2 linked regions of the Styela clava genome follow. The protein of the gene in region 2 interacts with the protein of the main gene of each other region in a biochemical or structural test. Links are inferred from orthologs where the notes say so. Each region holds a gene or a part of one and is shown on either strand. Other genes may lie near its edges.

Region 1 (10,239 bases), on a different chromosome or scaffold from region 2:
GGGGGGGGGGGTTCGTCTTATTAGGCGAGTATGATCATTTTCATTTTTTTGTCGCCTTATTATTGAATCCGGACAATGAAACACCTTCGGCGATAGCATCCCCCACGTCCTCCTCTGGTTAGTTTAAATAAATCGACATTCTCGTGCTGTGAATCTGGAATTTCAATGCTGTGATTATCATATTTGCATTATCATATATGGATTGAATATTACGCTACAAGAAAAAGTCATTATAGGCTATTTTAACCAATGCGCAAACGCGGCGACTGCTCGAAAGGCATTGCATGGTAATTTAAGATTCCCGACGTTGATGCGATTTTACTACCCCGACTTATTAACCGGTTATATGCAAAAACCCATTTTTTCAGGCTTAAAAACAGGCCTCGTCTTATTCGCCGGGTAGACTTATTCGCCGGAAAATACGGTAATTAATATTAATGAAAAATTTATATTCTGGTAATTAGTATAGGCCATTCGTTCACGTTTATCATCTGAAAGACAATCATGTACTATACATTGGGTAACACTAACTTGATTTTCAGAGATCAAGCCATGCTTCAATCCAGTCCATGGAAAAATTGTTGGGACAGGCGGTAGAAACTCTTATGCTACAAGCTACGGCATCTGCAATTTTCCACTGAATATAGTGTGGACTCGGACATACCGGAATTGATGAAATTCATTGTCTGATTACATTTTGATCCAGAATACATTCAAGGATGAAAAAATGGCTCGTAAGTTGAATATTTTTATAGGCTGATTACGGACACTTTACGGCGGTGGTTCCCAAACTTTTTTTTCCGCGACCCCAATTTTTGTAAAATCACAGACTACAGATACTTGCGACCCCACAACGAAAAAACATTAAAAATCAATTTATTCTATTCTGAATATTCTATTTAATCATTCTGATGAAAATCGACTGTAAGTTTGCAGGGCGTTGGTGTAACGTGGTTGTACTTAACTGTTTAGTTCAGTGGTTCCCAACCTTTTTACCCCAGCGGGCAAGCAAAATTAATTTAAAAGAGTTCGCTGACCGGTAACACATGCCATCGTATGAAGACCACGATGTAAAAATCTCTGAGATTCAGAATATTTGTTTAGTTTTAGTACAATGTTAAAATATTGCAGATTACTCCATAATTAATTCGAAAGCTAAACAGAACATGAAAGTAAAATAGGTGAAAATACCTTTGCTGGGTCTCATCTTATTGAGTGCCTTTTTATTTTTTGTCGTTTTGTTTTTGACTGCATGAAGCGCTTCGAAATTATGTATGAAATACAATATGCCCCATATTTTCGCTTCGTGTTCAAGGAAGATTATTTAAATGTCTAAATACGATCCGATTGCATTATTAAAATTGTTCACTTTTATACGAACGCGATGTGGACAAAACACATATGTGTATATTTTCGAGTAGATACTCGCGGTAATTAACATAGAGCTTTTGCAACGGATGGAAACCTTTTCATTAAATGTATTCTCATAATTGTGCTTATTTACTCATTCCAGATAGGATATTTGTCAAGTCTCGGAGGTTGCTCCAAGAAAGACTGGATTGGAGAATCATGAGCTCAATTATAACAAATTTACTCGCCCGCTCTTTCAACTGTGCAGGATGCGGTGGATAAGAAGGAGTGAGTGGGACGCCCTTAGTTTCTGCTATTAAAGGTATGTAATATGTTCATCATATTGTTCCACCATCTTTCTCTGCTCTACCCTCTTCCATTTTAAAAGTATAAGATTATTTTGACTCCAAATCAGCTTAAGATAATTCATAAGGGAAATGAACAAAAATTGATTAAATAGAATCTGACAATCTGGAGTGAAAACAAAACCTTAATTAAGATTAAAGCGTAAAGAATATAAGGTTTTGCCAAAAAGATGCCTATCGTTTCCATGAATTAAATTAAGTTACACACACACAACAACAACAGAGATATAATAAAATAAAAACAGGCGAGAAAATTTAGATAAGTTGGGTATATTAAACTAATAAACGGACTAGTAAACAAAATGTACTTGCCAGTTGCCACACCATTCATTTTTATCATTATGATTGTTAAATTGAATATGGATTTTGTAAACAACTGTGAACAGTAAAGAAATTGAATGTAGATTTTGTATACAAAAGTGAACAATATAGAAAAATATTTATTAAGGAGATATCGCCAAGCTGATTATGATTAGAGTCAAGTGCCAAATTGCCAATCCAATGTTGCCAGAGTTTGGTGCATAATGGCGAACAGTGGTTTTGGAACTTATTTGTATCATCGCAACAGCAAATGATGAAGTTACAACTAAATTTATTGTAAATCAATTAAACAAATAGACTAATCATGGTGCATGATGTTTCTAATAAGATAGATGAATTTCAACAAGGAATATTTCAAGACATTTTAGTCAGATAAAATCGCAAATCATCATTATTCCCTCCAACAAATATTCCCCTCAAAACGTTGTCTACGCCCCCCTTGCGGAATCAAGAATTTCTGTATTTCTCAATTATTATCGTCTTGTCAATGTAAGCTTCACTCACACATTTGCGACTGCAGAATCTTGGCTTAAGATTCCTACTCTGAAAATTTGTTGGGATGCAGTCATTCAGACTAGGCTTTGAACTCTGGTGCTGTAATTTGCTAATACTGCAATTTAACACAGAATTTTTATATTTTTCAGCTCTGGATGATCCGGCAACGAACTCCGATTAATTTTATTACATGTATACATATTTGTAAAATAAAGACATTTTGCTATCTTTTGTATTTTAATTATTTAAATAATGTTAGATTAGTGGGAAATTTCTATGTATAGATCCATACCCTGTCTGTACAACACATCGCCTAACTCGGCCCGACCATATGCCACGATTGTATTACAACGTGTCGCCTACGTAGGCCCGGCCAAATTTCACGATTGTGTTACAACGTATCGCCTACGTTGGCCCGACCGTTTGCCACGGTTGCATTACAGCGAAAGGACCGACGTTGGCCCAGCGGCCAAATCTTCGCTGGAACATGGTTGTTCGCCATTATTGGGCCGGTGGTTCGAACAACGTTCGGCCATGGTTGTTCCGACGTAGTTGTGCTATCTGGGGTGTTGTTTGTATTACTGCACCTCTGGAAGAAATCGCTAGAAAGCTATAACATTTTTAATTCTCCTTTGGTGCTATGAGACACGATACTTTACGTTTACATAGAAGCTGCTCTTCTTATATTTAAATAAAAAAGCACTTTTTCATTTCGTATTGCTCGATCACTTCCGTAAGCTAATGATTTTCACTAATCTTTTATTCCAACTCGGTGCTCTCAGACCTACCATTTTGTTTCAAAATGATGAATTTTTCAATTACTGCAACCAAACTAAAACTACTCGGAGAAAAATGACTATTGAGATATTTGATGGTTCCATTATCTTTGCACACATGTACATTTGCACCCTTGAACTGCACCCAGAACAGTTGTACCTACATACAGATTGCACCCATGAACATTTGCACACAAGTAAATTTGCACCACGCACATTCGCACTCACGCACATTTACAATCGCAGACATTGCAACCGCAAGCATTGGCAATCACGTACAATTGCAGCCACGGGCATTTGTACCGACGGATATTCGCACCCATGAATATTACACCACACTAGACTGGACACTAGTCTTTGAAGTAAAAAAAGCTTCATTGTGGTGAAAATGTACATGGGTGCAAATGTATACGAGTGCAAATTTACGTGGGTGCAAATGTATTTGAGTGCAAATTTCTGTGGATGCAAATGTACATTGTTGCAAATTTACATGGGTGCAAATGTCTGTGGCTGCAAATGTACGTGAGTGAAAATGTACATGAGTGCAAATGTACTTGTATGCAAGTATCCACAGGTGCAAATGTCTGTGGGTGCAAATGTAAGCGTGAGCAATCTATTTGTGGGTGCTAAATTCTGTGGGTGGAAATGTAAGAGTGCAAATGTGGGTGTCAAGTCAAGTTTATTTTTTCCAACCAGTTAAAAATATAACAATCAAAAATTACGACAGAAATAATACACAATTCCAAATGTCCTGGGTGCAGTTTACAAGTGCAAATGTGCTCTCGCCGTATATTTCGTGTTTAAAAACGATCCATGGACCATAATAGGTAAGTTCGTGTCAAACGAGGAAACCGCAAAAACATCAATTTTTAGTATTTATATACTCCATTGGAGGGCGATCGAATGACTGAAAGGGAAAGATTGCCGCGCCAAACTTTTACTTTGTTTAGCGCAGAAGTGGCCAAACTGTAAATTGTGAAATAAAAACGGTACTGATATTATTTTTTCATCATTTATTTATTTTTACAAAACTGTTATGAATCCACAACGTGGACCTTTAAAAAAAAAAAAAAAAAAAAAACGGTACTGAAATGAGTTTTGCGAAGAGATATTTAAGGTCCTAACTTATTACAGTAGTAAAACATAACATTGGTGTAAATCAGCTTTTTGTGTGTTTAGGTGGGGAACGTGCTGTTCAGTCGAACAAACTGGAAAATTGCAGCATTACGGTACAGGTACCCGCACGGTACTAGTCTGGCAGTGTTGTTTTTCTGTATTGTTTATTCAATTTGTGTTATGGTGGTGTAGACAAAAAATGTAATAACAGAATAAAGTTGTATTGTATACCGGTACCGGTACCAGGCTGATGGCTGACTGGTATCGAATTTCGCCATCCCTCAATACAGTAATATGACTTTGCAGTACCGTATGCTACCAACCTTTCTCGAATAAGTATGCAAGTTGCATTGAATACTTCTATTAGTATGGACTTTTCGGTGATTTCATGAATAGCCCCAAATGAAAAGACATCAATTAGCCTATATCGTCGAGGGCAGATCCTCCTGTAACGTTACCAGTGTACGAGACAGTCTGGGCCTTCATATTGCATGATATTGGCAAACCAGCACTGTGCAATAAACTAAAAAGAATCGCAATCTAATAACGTCACCATACTGCTATTGAATTCTTCTGAAAAAATTTATCCAATTTACAGAAAGAAAAAAATTATTTACTGTAGCATTTGAGTGATTAATCCTTATCGTGGCAAATTTATTTTTAGGTTCATAATGTAAGGGAATTTTTAGACTGTCTAAATTTACTCTGTAAAAATTGTTGGGTGAGTGATTTTCATAGCACCTAAAACGAAGTTGATCGCAAACTGGATAAATCGCCTTGTATTGGAATTATCAGTAATATTCTTGAACTGGTTTTTGCATTTTGAAATAAGTTATCTTTCTCCAGTAGTGATATTTTAAATGAAATGAATAATTATCTCAAAAATTTTACAATAGTGTATTTGGGAAATTATTTATATTTTTGTTTTTTGCAGAATTATGGAGACATTGCTGACTTTATTTTGATTCTATTCAAGAGTCTATAACTCACATTATTTTCATATTTCAGTCAACGTTCCATCAATTAATTATTGACCCTAAGCTAGGCAGGGGTATTGAAACACGATGAGTTCAACTTCTCAAAAGCACAGAAATTTTGTTGGTGAGCCCATGGGTGACAAATGTGTTACAGATGTAGCTGGAATTGGTAAAGTATATGGTCAAAAACTTTGTGACAAAGGTTTTGATAAAGTAAGTGTTGTTAAATAACTTGCTGTGCCTCTATTACTGTTTTTGCTTGTTATCCATAAACAAGGTACATTTTTGGCCCCCCTGGTAAATATGAGTTATTTTCTTGAACTCTTATTATTATAGTACATATTTTTGAAAACAGTTTTTATATAAAATATTAGTAATCAAAGTGTTTATATTCTCTAAATGCTTGTTTGAAAAGTTCGAACTTCCTGGCTTTCCAGTGTTTCCTCCCCAAATACTTGGCATATAATAATGATCTTTTAATATTTTTTCGAAAGTTATTTTCATATTTGGATATATTTTGTCTTGTTGTCATAAAGAGGTAAATTTCTGTTTTATTATCAGGATTGTGACTTGATCTTTTTCATTCCATTTTAAAATGATTTACACTTTTTAATACAGGCATATGTACTTCTTGGACAGTTTTTGTTGCTCAAGAAAGATGAAGAAATGTTCAGAGATTGGTTGCTAACTGAAATTAAAATGAGAGATAGAGATGCTATTAATTGTGCATCATGTTTGAAGGAATGGTCTGATGCATTTCTGTGAACACTATCAACTAACTGCTTTTATTTAACTCATGGTTTGCTAGGCATAATTCAAATAGGCTATTGAAAAAAAAAAAGAATTTATTCAAAAGAGTTTGAACAAATTAACATTCACAACAATTAATTTACTGGTATTCCATTTGTTATCTGACAAACATATTGGTGATTGTCTTCAATTAGGATTACATGCGAAAGTATTTTTCAACTACCGGTATGTGGTTTTCTACTGGTGGATCTCTTAGATACGAGGATTTACTAGTAGAAGTGGTTCAAGAATTGACCGAGGGAATACCGGTATAAAAATATTAAGCGAGATAGTTTCATGTCATGTTGATATTTCTAGCAATCCTCTCATCATGATATCTGCCATAAGTGCCATATTTGAATCATACTTTCTGGGTTACAATTTTTTTTTCTGTTCTATGTATGTATGTAATATCCTATTTTTTGATCATTGTTGCATCTTCCGCATTCAAATTCATCAAAGGCATAATTTGGAAGAAAATCAGAAGACATGCAAATAAAGTATAAATATTTGAACCCCCCCTTCCATGACTAAAAGTTAGCAGGGCATTTTTTTTATGCAATTGGCGAGTGTGCCAAAAAACCTCAAAACTTGTTGATATTCTCTTTACTTGTCACTAGGTCAACCATATCCCATTAAATAAGTGTATCAATTTGATTAAACTGAAATCGAACTCACTTACACAAAGTAATTTTCAAAATAAATTAACCAGGTAAAATTGCAATTTCACATTGCTTTATATTATTACATCAATATGATTGTCTTTACTCTCTTGTTATGTTGTTGGTATTGAATGATAAATTTTTTTCGATTGTGTTTGGGACCCTGTAGTCAATGATCAGAAATTTTCTTTACATATTTTAAGAGCTCAATTTTTAAATGCAATTCTGCTTTACTTCAGCTGCTGTTTACTACACTTTCTATATGTAAAAAATATTACCGTACTTCAAAATTTTCTTCGGCCTATATATTTTATTGAAATGTCTATTTTTGAATGAGAATAATGCTGTTATTTGTAGTTGTTAAAGTGTGATGCTTGTCTTTCATTACACTATTTCATCGTCACTATTTTTGAAAAGTGTAACCATGTCTAAGCTATCTATAGCCCTAAATCATCTCCTTGGTTATAAATATTAAAACTAAGAAAAAGCATGAACTGGGAGCATGTTGGGGGAATGTCCATGTTTTTCTCTCTCTAGTTTTCCGCTGGCTCAATATTGAGGCTAAAATCGCACTGATTACAGTTTTAAATTACCGTTTCTTATTTATATAAGTGTACTACAGATACAGGCATCTCTTTTTGAACGAAGTTTTTTCTTGTTGATTTTGTTTACTCGTCGATTATTTCTGCATGTTGAATTAATAATTGATTTGTTTGAAAATGCATTTTTCACCTGTTCATATAAAGAAGTTTTGGGATGACTGGACTATTGTCTTTAATCCAGTGTTTCCCAATCTTTTTTTGGTCGCCGACTATTTTCTCACCAGGGAAAATCATTGCGGACTCATTGTGCGTTAATTGTAAACCCGACTTGTGTGTGAAGAAGCAACAAAATCAAAAACAATTTATAATCCACATTTACAAATTCCGATGGGAACCATAGCGAGGGTGCTCTATCATTGAGACATCGAGAACTGCTCGCTCTGACAAACTCGGAAGATATTATGCGATCGTTGGGGAAAATAATAGGAAAGAATTTGCGGCTAAAATTTTCTAATAAATTTATTCTGATTATTCTCTGTCGTATCGGCTTTGATCGCCTTCGTAAATATAAAAAATAATATATTTATGGCTGGCTCGTCGATTCGCTGTCTTTTTTCCGTTTGTATTTTTCTACCCAGTCTATGTTGTTTTTGCCTCAAAACAAAACCTCTAAAATGTTGTTACTACGTATCCGTTGAAATCTGATAGAATTTTTAATTGTATTTCATATTCACCTAATGGTATTTCATATTCAAATTAGCATATTTGTATTAGTGATTCGAATTTTATCAAATTACCAACTAAAAGATGTGAAACTCATGCGACATTGGCGCACAATACGATCATTTGAAATTGGAGCAATGGAAATACAGGAAACAAATATTAAAAAAAAAATAAAAAAAACATACCAATCAATTTTAGCGTAAGCGAAAGGTACGTGCAAAGTTGTGTTTTTGCCAGAAATCCGCAAGTGCGTTGTGCAATCCAATCGTTTGATTCGGCACGTTCAGTGGCGTAGCCAGCCCAAAATTTTGGGGGGGGCCAAATTTGAAAATTTTAGAAATTATATTGGGTTTAAAACACCCGTTCTTCAAGCGCAAAACAACAACAGTTGGTCAACAAGCAAACTGATTCAATTACTCAGCTGGATTTTTGTGAATACAAAATCCATTAATAAACAATTTTTTATTTGAAACAACAAATATTAACAACGCAATTTAAATAAGTAAAATACATCGCCCCGATTAAAAGTACATCCTTCGCTTCCCGCTAACTATGCTCGACACAACTCGATTAATTTTCTCCTCGGTGACCATTTCACGGTGACAGTGAAGCACACACAAATCAGAAAGGCGATTGGACGTCATTGATGAGCGCAGCCATGTCTTTACCCGTTTCATCCAGGAGAAAGACCGCTCAGCCTCAACGGTGGTTGCTGGTAGCGTCATAACGATCTGTATTGCGGTGTACACGCTTGGATAATCTCGAGCGCTCAAAAGAAGCCCCTCCAAACATTTGTCGTTAACGTCGGAACTTAAAGAAGTTCTCCACAGTCTCACTTCATTCTGGAGGTTATCCAATAAATACAGATGCTCTACCTCATCCACGTGAACTGGTTTGTTCGGTGGAAGAATTGATAGCAATGAAAAAAATGATGGGTTTTCAATGAAGCGTTCCCGAATAGAGCAGCTCAAGCCGTCGACGTATGGGAGATATACGGAACGTTTAAAATAGTGGGATGCTGAATCAGCACAGACATTGTCGCGATACACTTGTACTTCGACTACTCTGGGTATTGTCAACTCTTTCAAGCCAGCTATTTCACAAGCTTCTTTGTAAATATTCAATGCGATTTCAGAGTCATTGCGTTCTTCAGCGATAACGCTCTGAAGAGAGGATGTGAGGTTCTTTACTGACGGCACACTGACTCCGACCGCCTGAAGTGCGCGCGCTAGTGGCTCCATTAGTGCCGAATATCGACCAATCAAACATACGGCGTAGATAACCGACGACTTTTCTAGAGCAGATTTCAGAGAAAAAGCCTTCGCCCGCGTCTCACTGTTAGCATCTCTCGCCAAAGAATCAAGAGCCTCAAGTACTCGTTTGAAGTTGCATTTGAAGATTCGGATGCTCTTGTACTTCTCAGACCATCTGGTGGGGCAGAACAAAGGGATGTTAATTCCTAAACCCGCGCGCCTTTTAGGGCTCTCCCTGAAAAAACGAATAGTCTCACGAATGATATCACAGGTGCTTCTGATGATTGCAACTTTACTTTGGTCATTTATGACCAAATTCAAACAATGAGAAGCGCAGTGCACAAATATTGCGCGCGGGTATTTATCACGAATGCGTTTTTGCACACCGCTGACGTGACCTGCCATTGTCGTTGCACCATCATAGCCTTGCCCCACAAGTTTTTGCAAATCCACTCCTATACCAGAGAGGTGGGTCAAAATATTTGAGGAAATTGATTCGGCAGAAACAGAATCCATTTCCACTAATCCTGTGAAGCGCTCGCACACTTCACCACCTTTCACATACCTCAAAACGATGCTTAGTTGTTCTTTCCCAGAAATATCACATGATTCGTCGGCTATTACGGACACAAACGATTTATTAGCCTCCATAACGATATCTTGCACTATCATGTTGCTTGCTACCTTGAGAATTTCATTTTGTATCATCGGGCTTGTATACTTAGCGTTTCCGGCCATTCGAGCGAAATGCCTTTTCAAATCTTCATCCCCTGCGTCGATACGAAATAGAAGAAGGTTCACAAAATTTCCACTATCACCGGAATGTCCGCGCAAGGATATGTTACCCGAAGCACAGAACATGACAGTCTT
Region 2 (11,701 bases):
ATCGTTTTGTTATTCTCTTAAACTACGGGACCAAATGCTTTGAAAGTTTCAGTAGTTAAAGATTGCATTTTTCGTTTTTTTTTTTGTGTGGGATGACGTCATCATCACCAAAATTACCCTCCTTGTGGCGATGCCGCCTTCGTATTAGCAATCTTGTGGTCAGGCGAAGTTGTGAACATTGCGATATTGATAGGCTACTGTGACAGAATAAATACCCATACTATATTTATGACTGTAAAATTTGACAATTAATTCATACATAAAATTGGTAAAAATAACCATGGTGGGAGCAGAATAAAACCATGCCTAATCTTGACCACATAAATACTACTGTTCCTCAAAAAGTTAAATCTTTTCCAATTAAAAAAAAAAATAAACAAACCTGGATGTTTCCCAGAGTACTTCCCACTCAAAGTATCTTCTTTACCCAAAACACTCTTGGTATGCAATGGTGCCATGGAATAGCGAGATTTAGCGATTGAGGAACTGAAAAACAATAGATTTTTAATGTAAAAACAATCACTACGTAATGCATCAAATTAATTTTTATTTTAGTTTTACATACCTCTTAGAACTGCTTGCAATTTTCGTTGGAGATTTGATCAATGAATTTTTAGGATTTTTGCTTATTCTTGGACTACGTCTTGGGCTGGTAGTGTCAAAAGTTGAATCAACAACCTTTACATCTTCATCCGAGTTCTCTGAAGGCGTAGTTGTGAAATCATTTTCGTCATGTTTGATTATTTTTTGTGTCTGTTTTTTTAATTGTTTTTTTGAATTCCTCTTAATTGTCTTTTTTGGGGGTGAAACTTCTGCGCTGTCTGCTTCCTCATCTGCAGAAGAGTCATCATTAATAACAACATTTTCATCAGAAGAACTTGATAAAACAGTCTTTTTAGTTACTTTTTGTGGACGTTTCCTTGCCGAGGTAGAAGTTTTAGTCAGCTTTCTGGACTTAGGTGCAACTTTCGGAGATGGTTCGCTAGGAGTGGATGAATTTATGTTCATTGCATCGTCCTCTGATGAGCTCGTAGTGTATTGTTTTCTCTTGGCTGGCGTACGTTTAGGACGTTTGTTGGGTAAATCATCTTCTTCCGACTGTGAGCTCTAACAGATTTGAGATTAATATTTTTTGTCGTAAGTCCATGCATTTCAAAAAGGAAAAAATCAACACCATCATGTTTTCAATTCTTATTAATTATCTTACCTTTGCTCGTGATTGTGTTGTTCGCTTCTTTTTGGCTGGTGTTGGCGTCTCATCATTTTCAAAAGTTATTTTTGCTTTGAGTGAAACTCCCATTGATTTAAGGGCATCTTGAAAGTATTTTTTCAACACAGAATAATCTGGTTCATCTTCATAATCCATCTTTGAAACGTATTGAAGAAACTTTTCGATTTCAACAGCTGTTAGAAATGGTCATATATATATAATTACTAGATAGCATGAAAAAAATAATGAAATGCAATGAAATCAAAAGTATTTTATTATATGATCATCATGTCCATACGAATTGATAATTAGATTTATTATTCTAAATCCGTGGTTCCCAAAGTTGATAAACCGCAGGCCAAAATTAGAAGCTGAAGGATATTTGCGGGCCAGGAGAGGAGAGTGCACGCAGGGGGTCGATACCAGTGCCTGTACCTATAATTGAGATACTGAACTGAATCGTTACGAATATGCTCATGCTTAAACTGTTATAATGATGTAACAATTGGTGGTATCTAGAAAACAAAGTGTTAAACTATGACACTCAAGTTTGGAGGGCCATATTAAATCGTTACGCGAGCCCTAATTGGCCAGTTTGGGAACCACTGTTCTAAATTCCTGAGTCTAGGAAGGAATATTCAGAATAGTTTCAGAAGTTTATCATTTTGATTTTTGAGCAAATAAAGTTTCAGAGTGTGAACAAAAAGGCCTTCATTCAAGTTATGAAAACTGTGAAAATGGAAGACCAATCTGATCTTACTTCCATGCATTTTCAAATCCAAACTCATTGAATATGCCCAATGGGTATGAGTCAGTTTAGAATATATTTGGCAATTGGCATAATAGATCATTTGTTATTTGCCTCACTAAGGCTGATATTGATAGATGCCGACAATATCTGATTGCTGTTTTCAAATTTTCTAAATGAAGGTACATCACAAAAGCTGTAATGGTAAAGTTATAATTTTCTTTCACTAAATTCTAATATCAGGTGAACAAATGTTAATTTGAGAAACTTTATTAAAAAGTCATTGCAATTGGACATACCTTTCTTTGATTTTGCCTCTGGATAGACTGATAAAACAAATTGTTTTACATTATCCATATGTTTTATTTTTTCATCTCTCACGTAGTTCTTGTTGGTTAGATTATCTTCCCAAGGTAATTTTCCAGACACCCAGTGCAGTAAAACATATCCAAGTATTTCTAGATCTGATCGTCTTGAGGGAGCTGAAACGATAACACAGTTTGTCTTATATCATTTACCATCTCTAATCATTCTCAGATGCATGCTTTGAAATCTGGGAAAATGTACACTTGACGACCCTGGCACCGGGATGACAAGAAAATTTTACTCTGTCTCCAGACCGCACGTTCTACTAAATTTTGACTCAATCAAATTCAATTTTCAGTTCAAAAACCCTGGCATTCACAAGCCTTTTATTAACTGCTGTGAAACTTCCTGTTTGAAATTTGACTTCAATTATCTCCAAAAAAAGTCTGAAAGTCACATCCGATTTTGACACCGAAGAAATATAAATTTAAACTCTCCTGACTTGGAAGAGTTTGGAAATATGTATCAGCTGTTGACTCCAATATCAAATCTGTTTCCACAGTCCTCATTCAATATAGAAGAATGCTTATAAAATTTGAAATCACTTCCACGAGTAAAAGAATTATATATATATATAAACATAAAGATATTGATACTGCCTCTCTTACCAACACCTCTGTGTGCATCTCTGCTTGTATATTCAATGGTTCCATCATGAGCTTTTCTAGGATCTTCCAAATATGGTTTGTGTTTTCCATCAACAATATATCGAAAAGCAAGACCAAAATCTACTAAATATATCTGAAATGGAACAATAATTAACAAATTAGCTGGTTATGGTGATTGCCAATATAGAGAAGAAATATTAAACCATCCCAAACCTGATTTTGATCTTTATGCCCAACTAAAATATTTGCACCTTTCACATCTGCGTGTACATATTCATTTTCATGCATATATTGCAACGAATTCAGCTGTGAGATATAAAGACAAATAAATAATTCTATTGTTAAAGATCATCAAAAAAGGCTACAGCATCCAGTTCAGTATTCAAATGTCAAATGTTTTTCATACGGGGAACCACATTGGTAATTCCTGGCTAATTAATTTCTTTGTGTAATGTTTAAATTAATTTATCTTATTTATAACATTGAAGCTGTAAGGGCTTAGGCAATTTAGTAATTTCAACACGTTCAGTTGAAAATCATGCTTTTGAAGGTTAATTTCCATTAAAAAAAACTGTGCCACCTAAAATATTCAATAGCTGTGATATCAGGCATGCAAAACAAGTAAAAGAAAAGTACGAACTATTCACTCAATGCATCAGAAAGAATTCATCTTACGAACCAGTTCAATAGCAAGTTGACAGACAGTAACACGAGAAAACTTTTTATCAGCTTTAAGCCAAAGATTGTGTAGATCACATCCATATCTTGGCATTACCATAAACCTTAGATTCTCCTTTCCATTTGCATGTAATCCGTGGGCAACATAAGCTGGGATTCCTACGTACGATAGGCGTGCTTTGTTTTTCCAAGTAGTCACTGTTGAACGTAAATAGGATCAGAAGCAGACAGAGATGATATTCACTTAAATATAATTTTTTTCAAAACACACAATTAACACAAATTTTAAATACAAATTAACCCCTTCAAAACGACACATGCCCCCAAAGTCTCTCTGCAATTTAAAATTTATTGCAAGATAAATTGTGAAAAGACTTTATGGACACCATGTATTACGGATACTTACAGGACTCTTGCCTAGCAGCTCTCTGATAAAATGCTACCTCACAATACAAAGGACCATTGCCGTGAGGTTCCTGGAAAATTGAGATACACACATATAAAACTAACCCTCAAAACAGTAAGGAATATTAAATATTGAACAGTTGATAATGATTAGGTACCAATAAAAACCGCCAATAATTTATATTTATAATTTTGCAATAAATGAAACTTGAATTCGCTGAATCACACAAAGCATACTTTTCCTTCAAAACTATCACCCGAAAGCTGTGTATTAGATGAGTTTGAGCACTTTACCCAAATCAGCGTGGTTCACTCCATTCCATGGCAAATTAGGTTATCATGATACCAGAAGGGACGCTTTTGGCAATACTTAGGTTTATTAATCAAATTTAAGTAAGGTAAAATTCCACATACCACTTTTATCACATAGTTTGCTTTATCTTTTCCGATACATTTTTTGTCTTCATCAGCTGTATAAAAGAAAACATCAATCAATTAGTACTTGTATGTCAATATGAAATAACAAATTCAATTGCTTAAATTAAATATTTGGACATATTGTAATCAACAGATGGAAACTTCCTAATTTAATTCAAATCACATAGAAACAAATATTACAAGAAACTTTTCTGTTGTTTAAAAAACTTAATTATTTTCAAACAGCAGGGCCTTTACACTGTAACAAATGCGAAATTAATTAAGCTTTTTCATGTAATTTACTCAATTTTCGAACAGAGCATGTAAAAAAGAGAAAATTACATCATTTCGAATAACGTTTGACAAATAATATTATTTTTTTCATCAATACTAACATTTCGCCATTTTTTTCCACGTATAGATTATAATGATATTATTACCTAAGTAAATGAGTCCAAATCCTCCAGAACCAATTGGTTCTCCAAGATACCATAACTTTTTTCTCAAATCTTTTAATTCAGTTCCTTTTGCTATTGTTGTTGCAAGTTGGTAGTTTGTTGCAGCTTTACCACGGCCTTTACCTTTTGCAGGCATGGTGGTATTCTATCGATTATTATTTATTCCTTTCTTATATAGCATACATTAGTAAGTATTATTGAAGTTAACTAATTTAAATATAAATAACAATTGTTAACACAAAAAGTTTTGTCAGATAATTAAAGAAAATTCCCACATTGTCACACACAAGTGAAATATTGCACAATGTAAGACAACGTTGGGCTGTTTATATATCTAATCACTTGTAATTTACGAACATAATGGTGGCAGAAAATTGCACTAATATGATAAAATAAAAACAATCTTTAATTTTCATATATATTGAATACTAATTCTCATTTATTTATTTCTCCAATAGCTATGGACGGTGTATGTCAAGGCGTTGTGCTCTACAAAACTATCATAAAAATATAGTAAAATAAGTAGATTCAAGTATAAAATTATGTTACTCATAAAATCAACACAAATAATTTGAATTACACCTGCCAATACTTCGGCACAAAACTGTCTAGGATTTATAATGGTTATTTCAGATGAGTATCATACATTTTTTGATGAGTTTTTGTGACCTCGGTACCCACTTATTAAGTTCACAATCGCAATTAAGAATGACAAGTCAAAAACATAACACTGATATTTTAATTAAATTAAAAGAATTCAATAATAGTTAAAGAGAAGCTTGACAGTTGTGCCAGAAGTCACCCTCCTTTAGGCCAACTTTGTTTTCTTTCAGCAGTTTCCTCAGATGATTGTTAACATTGATATCAGCTGGGCCATAAAGATGTTCTGGTATATCGTATATAATTTTCACAATGTCAAGGCTTTTGAGGGGCCCAGACGAATCTTTCAGAGCTGATATTATTTGGCTTTCCCTTTCATTCCTGTGGCTGATGTAATATTGAACATATTCTATTGGATTCTCAAGAACTGGGCCATGACCGGGGTATATTTTTCCAGGTTTAAGACTCAAAATGAAATCGAGAGACTTCATGTAGTCATAAAGATCTTCAAAAACAGCAGTGCCTTCACCGAGCACACAATCACCAGAAAACACATTATTTTCCTCAATTAACTGAAGTATAATATGGTCATCTGTATGGCCAGGTGTATGGTATACTTTCAATGTTGCACCTTCTGTATTTATTGTTGAAGCATTTTCAACAAAAGAATATTTAGAATCAGTGTTTGGAGGTGTTTCACTTTCCCAGCCATCAATACCTCGCCCGAATTTATATAGCGGAACATTTTGTCCACTAGAAATAACATCCCTTTCAATGTCAGCTATACCCCCGATATGATCCATATGATAATGAGTAAGAACAATTCCTTCAATACTGACGTTAAATTTTTTCAAAGTAGACTTCAAATTTGAAATGTAATCAGGCACACTTGGATTACCAGTATCGATTAAAATACGTTTTCTGCCAGTGCCAACAATGTAAGTGTTTGTGCCCTGTAAAGTCATTGGAGACGGATTGCATCCCAGAACACGAATTACTCTGCTTGACAGTTGCTCAATCTTAGGTATGACTGAAGACATTTTTTATTATCTTTTATACAGTATGATTCTGTTTTACCATATACAGTAATATTTGTATACCTTAAATGAAAAAGAAGAATTACCCGATAACAGAAATATGGTAAATTGGTAATTAATCATCCATATCTACATATTGCTGTATTGTATTCAATGTATTGGTTGTAATATTTAAGGTCATATAAAATATAATAACACTTGGGCTTTGCAGTTTCGTGTGGAAATCATATAAAATTTCAAAATATTCAACTGATTCCCAAATTTAAAATCTTTTTTAAAAATTGTAACATATATGTTAGCTGCTTGTGTATAAATTTAAAAACTTGGATCAATATATAAGAGACAAGAGGTCAGGAGGCGGATTAATATAACCTTATGGTGCCCTAATCCCTTAGATATACACTAACAAAATAAAAACAGAAAACTGGTTATTCTATTGGCAGACTGGCATTTCTGTTTAAACAATAAACCGAGTCATATATCAGTATAATGTATATACAGATATAAAGTACTTTTGAGCTTATATTTTTTTCTATCAGTAATATCTGAATATTTCCACTATAAGCAAAGGTCTAAGACCTTGCTTGAATCAAGCTCATATTGCAGTACCGGTACTGTCTTATAAAACATAACCATGAGGCTGTGAGGCAGTAAGGAAATGAACTGAACGACATTTCACACCATCCTCTTTTTCGGAATTTGTTACAAGTGAACATGTCACTGTTTTTTGAGAACGTTGAATTTACCGCGGCCTGTCCGACCGCTAGCAAATTACAAAATTATAGATATGTAAATCTGTCCGGCCTCTAGCAAATTACAAAATTATAGATGGGTAAAATACTAAAATACCCGGTACTGGTACCGTACCGGTATAGGCCATAAGAATGAGTTAAAATAACTTGACCCCTTTGCGGCTGTGGCTTCAGTTGACGACTGCACGGATATAATGTAAACAGACTCATACAGACGATTTATGACAGTTTTAAAAAAAATGTAACTAGGTGCCGAGTCGACAGCTCCTTGCTTCTGTGCTTTGTATCGCTGATACAGACGGATTTGCACCATTTGGCGCCGAAAACCAGTGACGCATAGCTCGTTTATCACCGATCATTTGAAACCAGGGGTACATAAATGAATATCGGTAACTTAATGGAATATTAACGAAAAAATTAATTTAAAAACAAGAGGGTGGTACTACTAACATTAAAGGGTAAAATAAATATGTTATATAAAGGCTACTATAAAAACTTCCATCCGCTATTTCATTCATATTACTGTATCATCTCAACGACTAGTTTCGATTATACTTTTGAAAAAAATGACAAAAGTTTTGGCAATTGCTACGTATTTGTCACGTGGTTCTGTCTGCTTTAAGCAGTCGGTCGCCTTGGTGACGTATTCTGTGTTATTGTTTAATGGAAATCCCCTCACTGCCTTGCATGTTGTTTATGTATCCAATGGTGCAATATGAGTAAAATTTGTACACAATATCATGTATTCATTTACTGTGCCGTAATAACTGTAATGAGGTTAGGTATACAATAGATGAGGTATAATGGCAGGGTTGCCTTTACTTATTCCCGTCAAATTCATTTCTTTTTTTGCTTGTCCAGCGCTCTTATGAATGAAGTTGATGTAGCTAATACATAGTTTGACATATTAAAAGTCCAAAATAGACAATAAATAATAGTGTTGAAGCTAGTCATATTTGACATCATAATTGTAGATTTTTTTATGTGAACAATAGGCATATGATTGTAACTATCTACTGTTCCTTCATCTCAGTATTTGTGTAGTAGGTAGTACACCAAAATTGATGGTATCGTGGATTGAAGACCTTGCTTTAAGCCAGGTCCCCACACAATGTGGAATGAAGAAGGTAGGCAATAGCGAAAATGAAACGATTCTGATCTTTGCAAAAATAGTAGTATTTACATTTCATTGGATTCTTCTTCTTTGTTTTCAATGATGAAATTTTGTTTTGATCAGTCCGATTAAAATGTTTTGCCCAAGCTTGCTTTTCTTTATATGCTGTTATATATATATGAATATATTCAGTTGATTTATTGATATATCCAGCTAGCTTTGCTTATTATTTGTTGGTAATGTTTGTTGTATCTTGTTTTATCAATCGAACGCCAAAAAATATATTTTCCAATTTCAAGAAAATATTTATATAGATAGATCATGCTATTTTCTTCTATTTAATTATTAACTTCTTCATATAAAAAAAAATTACAAGTTTTTGGAACATTAAATGTCTATAATCAATATTTGTTCTTGCCCATCAAGTTTTATTTGCTTTGGATTGTAAGACTTAAGAATCCTGTAATGTCTGTAAATCATGAATGTTTACAAAGTTTCAATTTTCTGTTTGCATTTTAACTTCATTTCAATTTTTCAATGTATTTAAACAGAATGTGGCAAGCTAGTATTTTTTATGATATATTTACAACATCTGTGATAAAGATCAGAAATGTTTTATGAATCAGTATTTACTGTTTAAATTTCTTTCAAACTTTTTTACAATTGGTTTATTTGTTTCAACTTTGATAGACAATGTCACAACTCATTCAAATACGAAGTTATACTAGATCAAGTTCTGTTGGAAAAAAGGTTCAACATAGAATACTTAAAACAGTTGGAGCGAGCAATTAACTACACTTTCATTGACATTGAAACTTCTTCAAGTGGAGCTGTTGGAAAGCAAGTTCATATTCGCAGCATTTTTTATGTTATATTCATTGTTTCAACCAAGACATTCTTAAAAAGTTGAAAAACATAATTTTTTTTATGATACGTTTTCACTTAAATTAAAGCTCTACAAGTCACAACTACCTGTATGTACAGAACTACTATTTTAGAAAGATGTCAGATTTTGAGGTTGTTATGCCAACATAGTGAAAGCGATTTAATGCCATTTGCTTTCGCTTGTTGCGGCCTTCTCATTTTATTAAAATCTTTCTCTGAGATTCACTTGTGAACTGATCCACTTTATGTTGCATCTTTAAGGTTCATCCTATCTTGTTTTTCTTTTCAACAGTTTATATGGCTCAGTTCAGGATTTATTGAATAATTTGGATCAGATTGAGATTTGCACTATGGACAAATATTCGGGACTTCCAAACTGGGTCCAGAAATCTAAAAAGTCTTTGAAACAAACTCAGGTCAGTATGCGCCGAATCAAGTTTTCTCGCTTCAATTGTGATTAAACTACTCAAACCACTTTTACAATATCTTGGAAACTATATTTTCTCAATCTTGTTTACACTCTTCATTGACAGGAATGGCAAACCTATATGATGAAGTTATATGATCTTGTTCATCATCAAATGCATGAAATGGGAGTCAGTTCATTTAATGATTTAGCACCACCAGAAAGGAATCTCCTACTACAAAGGGCATTTCAAGCACTGAAAAAAGGTATTCAATCATCTTTGTTTGCAACACTGGTTGTCAGCTATCATTTTTTCAAACTAATCCCATCAGGAAGATACAATTATATAGTATTACTAAGTTTTAAGTTGAGTTTTCAGGTGAAAGTGAATCTCATTTTTTCAAGGCTGGTCAACAATCTATCTCTATTAATTTTTATCTCGCATTGAATTTATTTGTTATTTATTCTTTCAAATAACTATGTTTCGGAATGATTAATAATATCTATTTCAATTAGGTATATTGCTTCATTCATGTCAGTAAATTGTCCATTGGCAGATAAAAAACCATTGATAAAAATGGCAGATCAAATTCTTTTCGAATTGCTATCTTTAAATCTGGGTGCTAAATTCCACAGTTTTAGAATATTATTGAATAATAATAAAATAAAATTTTAATTATACCTCTTTCAGGTGAAGCATATTTTCAACTTCTTCAAGCTGCATCAGAATCATTAGATGAGAATATTAGCCAAGAAGCAAACAAACTATCAACAACCAAACAACAGAATAAAACAAAGATGGAAATATTGCAAGATGAATGCCATAAGGCTGTTGTAAGTTCTAACAATATATTCTAGTTGAAACAATGTTGATGGTTGTTCTCTGCAGGACTGTGAAGTATAGCAAAATTTATAGATTCCTGATTAAAGAAAATGACTCCTACTTGGCTCATGGAAATGGGAATTCTAACTCTGACTCGAGCTCTAAAGCCCCCAAAACAACATTAAGACCAGTGGTTGGCAAACTTTATGTACTACTGGGCTAAATGTGCATATTGACGGTAGCATGCAGGCAGTAGACCCTAAAGCAGGGGTCGGGAACCCATGGCTCGCGAGCCATATATGGCTCTTTTGGTGACGGCATATGGCTCCCAGAAAAATCTAATATTCTAAGACTAAGCTTAGGCTACTATTGTTACGAGATTTCAAACACCTTTATAGCCAATTTTGGCAGGAAATTCCCAATACGTTTGAGAACGCGCGCCCAGCACATGTCTATGTTATGTAAGATAATCACCAGACAGGCATTGTGACAAACAAGGGGAGTCTGGAACATATATTGTGACATCACAAAGCGATATAGTTTTAAAAACACTACGGAGATGCCTAAACGAAAAAGGGTGATGAGTATTGTAGATTTCAACTTGGGCTGCATGTGAGCAACCGTTCAAGGCCCGCAGCGACTACATGCAGCATCAGAAATCACAATAAATGTATATTGACATTGTATGTGTTGACTTTTGAGTAAACATTTCAGGCCTGATTAAGTGAAGAAATGTTATATGGCTTGCACGGAAATGCAATTGAAAATATGTATATTTTATGGCTCTCTTGACCAAAAAGGTTCCCGACCCCTGCCCTAAAGACTTTGGTGTATGCTAGCGTTTTTAAATTGTCTTTCGAAAGCTTAGTCAACTTTTTGGTTGAATTTCTGTCAGAAATCTTGACTATGATTATCATCATTAGAAATTGGAAGAGTTAATACCATTCCAACCTTGGTGAGTTTGAACATATCGACACCTCAAAACCAAACAGTGCTAAGTACACTTTTCCAAAAAATGACATTTTTCAATTGCTGATTTTCCTGGACTTAGCTCTACATTTGGGTCTATTTGCCTTATCTCTAGGTGCTCTAGATCTCAAGACAGCTATGGACATAACCCTGCTTTTTTTAGGGCATTTGAGAACTAAACAGAGCTGTGTCTACTATAGTGGACTTAGCTCTGGATAACTGCAT

The links.
Region 1: of the proteins of serine/threonine-protein kinase VRK1-like (region 2) and barrier-to-autointegration factor B-like, one has a biochemical effect on the other in vitro, tested with the Caenorhabditis elegans proteins (2 studies listed by BioGRID). The link is inferred for Styela clava from reciprocal best matches to the Caenorhabditis elegans genes vrk-1 and baf-1.

The regions. Positions count from the first base shown.
Region 1 is NC_135251.1:13,960,875-13,971,113, forward strand, and holds barrier-to-autointegration factor B-like, read left to right. Parts: upstream 1-5,406; 5' UTR 5,407-5,487; coding exon 5,488-5,613; intron 5,614-6,018; coding exon 6,019-6,165; 3' UTR 6,166-7,575; downstream 7,576-10,239. Other genes in the region: zinc finger MYM-type protein 1-like, read right to left, coding at 8,638-10,239. UniProt on the Caenorhabditis elegans protein: DNA-binding protein which plays an essential role in nuclear envelope formation. Required for normal chromosome segregation during mitosis. Associates with the nuclear lamina via its interaction with LEM domain containing proteins emr-1 and lem-2.
Region 2 is NC_135253.1:16,538,538-16,550,238, forward strand, and holds the start of serine/threonine-protein kinase VRK1-like, read right to left. Parts: upstream 5,118-11,701; 5' UTR 5,027-5,117; coding exon 4,873-5,026; intron 4,486-4,872; coding exon 4,430-4,485; intron 4,087-4,429; coding exon 4,017-4,086; intron 3,809-4,016; coding exon 3,612-3,808; intron 3,239-3,611; coding exon 3,146-3,238; intron 3,066-3,145; coding exon 2,933-3,065; intron 2,441-2,932; coding exon 2,258-2,440; intron 1,405-2,257; coding exon 1,208-1,404; intron 1,108-1,207; coding exon 566-1,107; intron 487-565; coding exon 383-486; intron 1-382. Other genes in the region: endoribonuclease LACTB2-like, read right to left, coding at 5,658-6,530; uncharacterized protein LOC120327175, read left to right, coding at 9,629-9,694, 9,812-9,950, 10,376-10,518. UniProt on the Caenorhabditis elegans protein: Serine/threonine kinase that phosphorylates baf-1, thus regulating the association of baf-1 with chromatin and nuclear membrane proteins during nuclear envelope formation. May act through the egl-17 signaling pathway.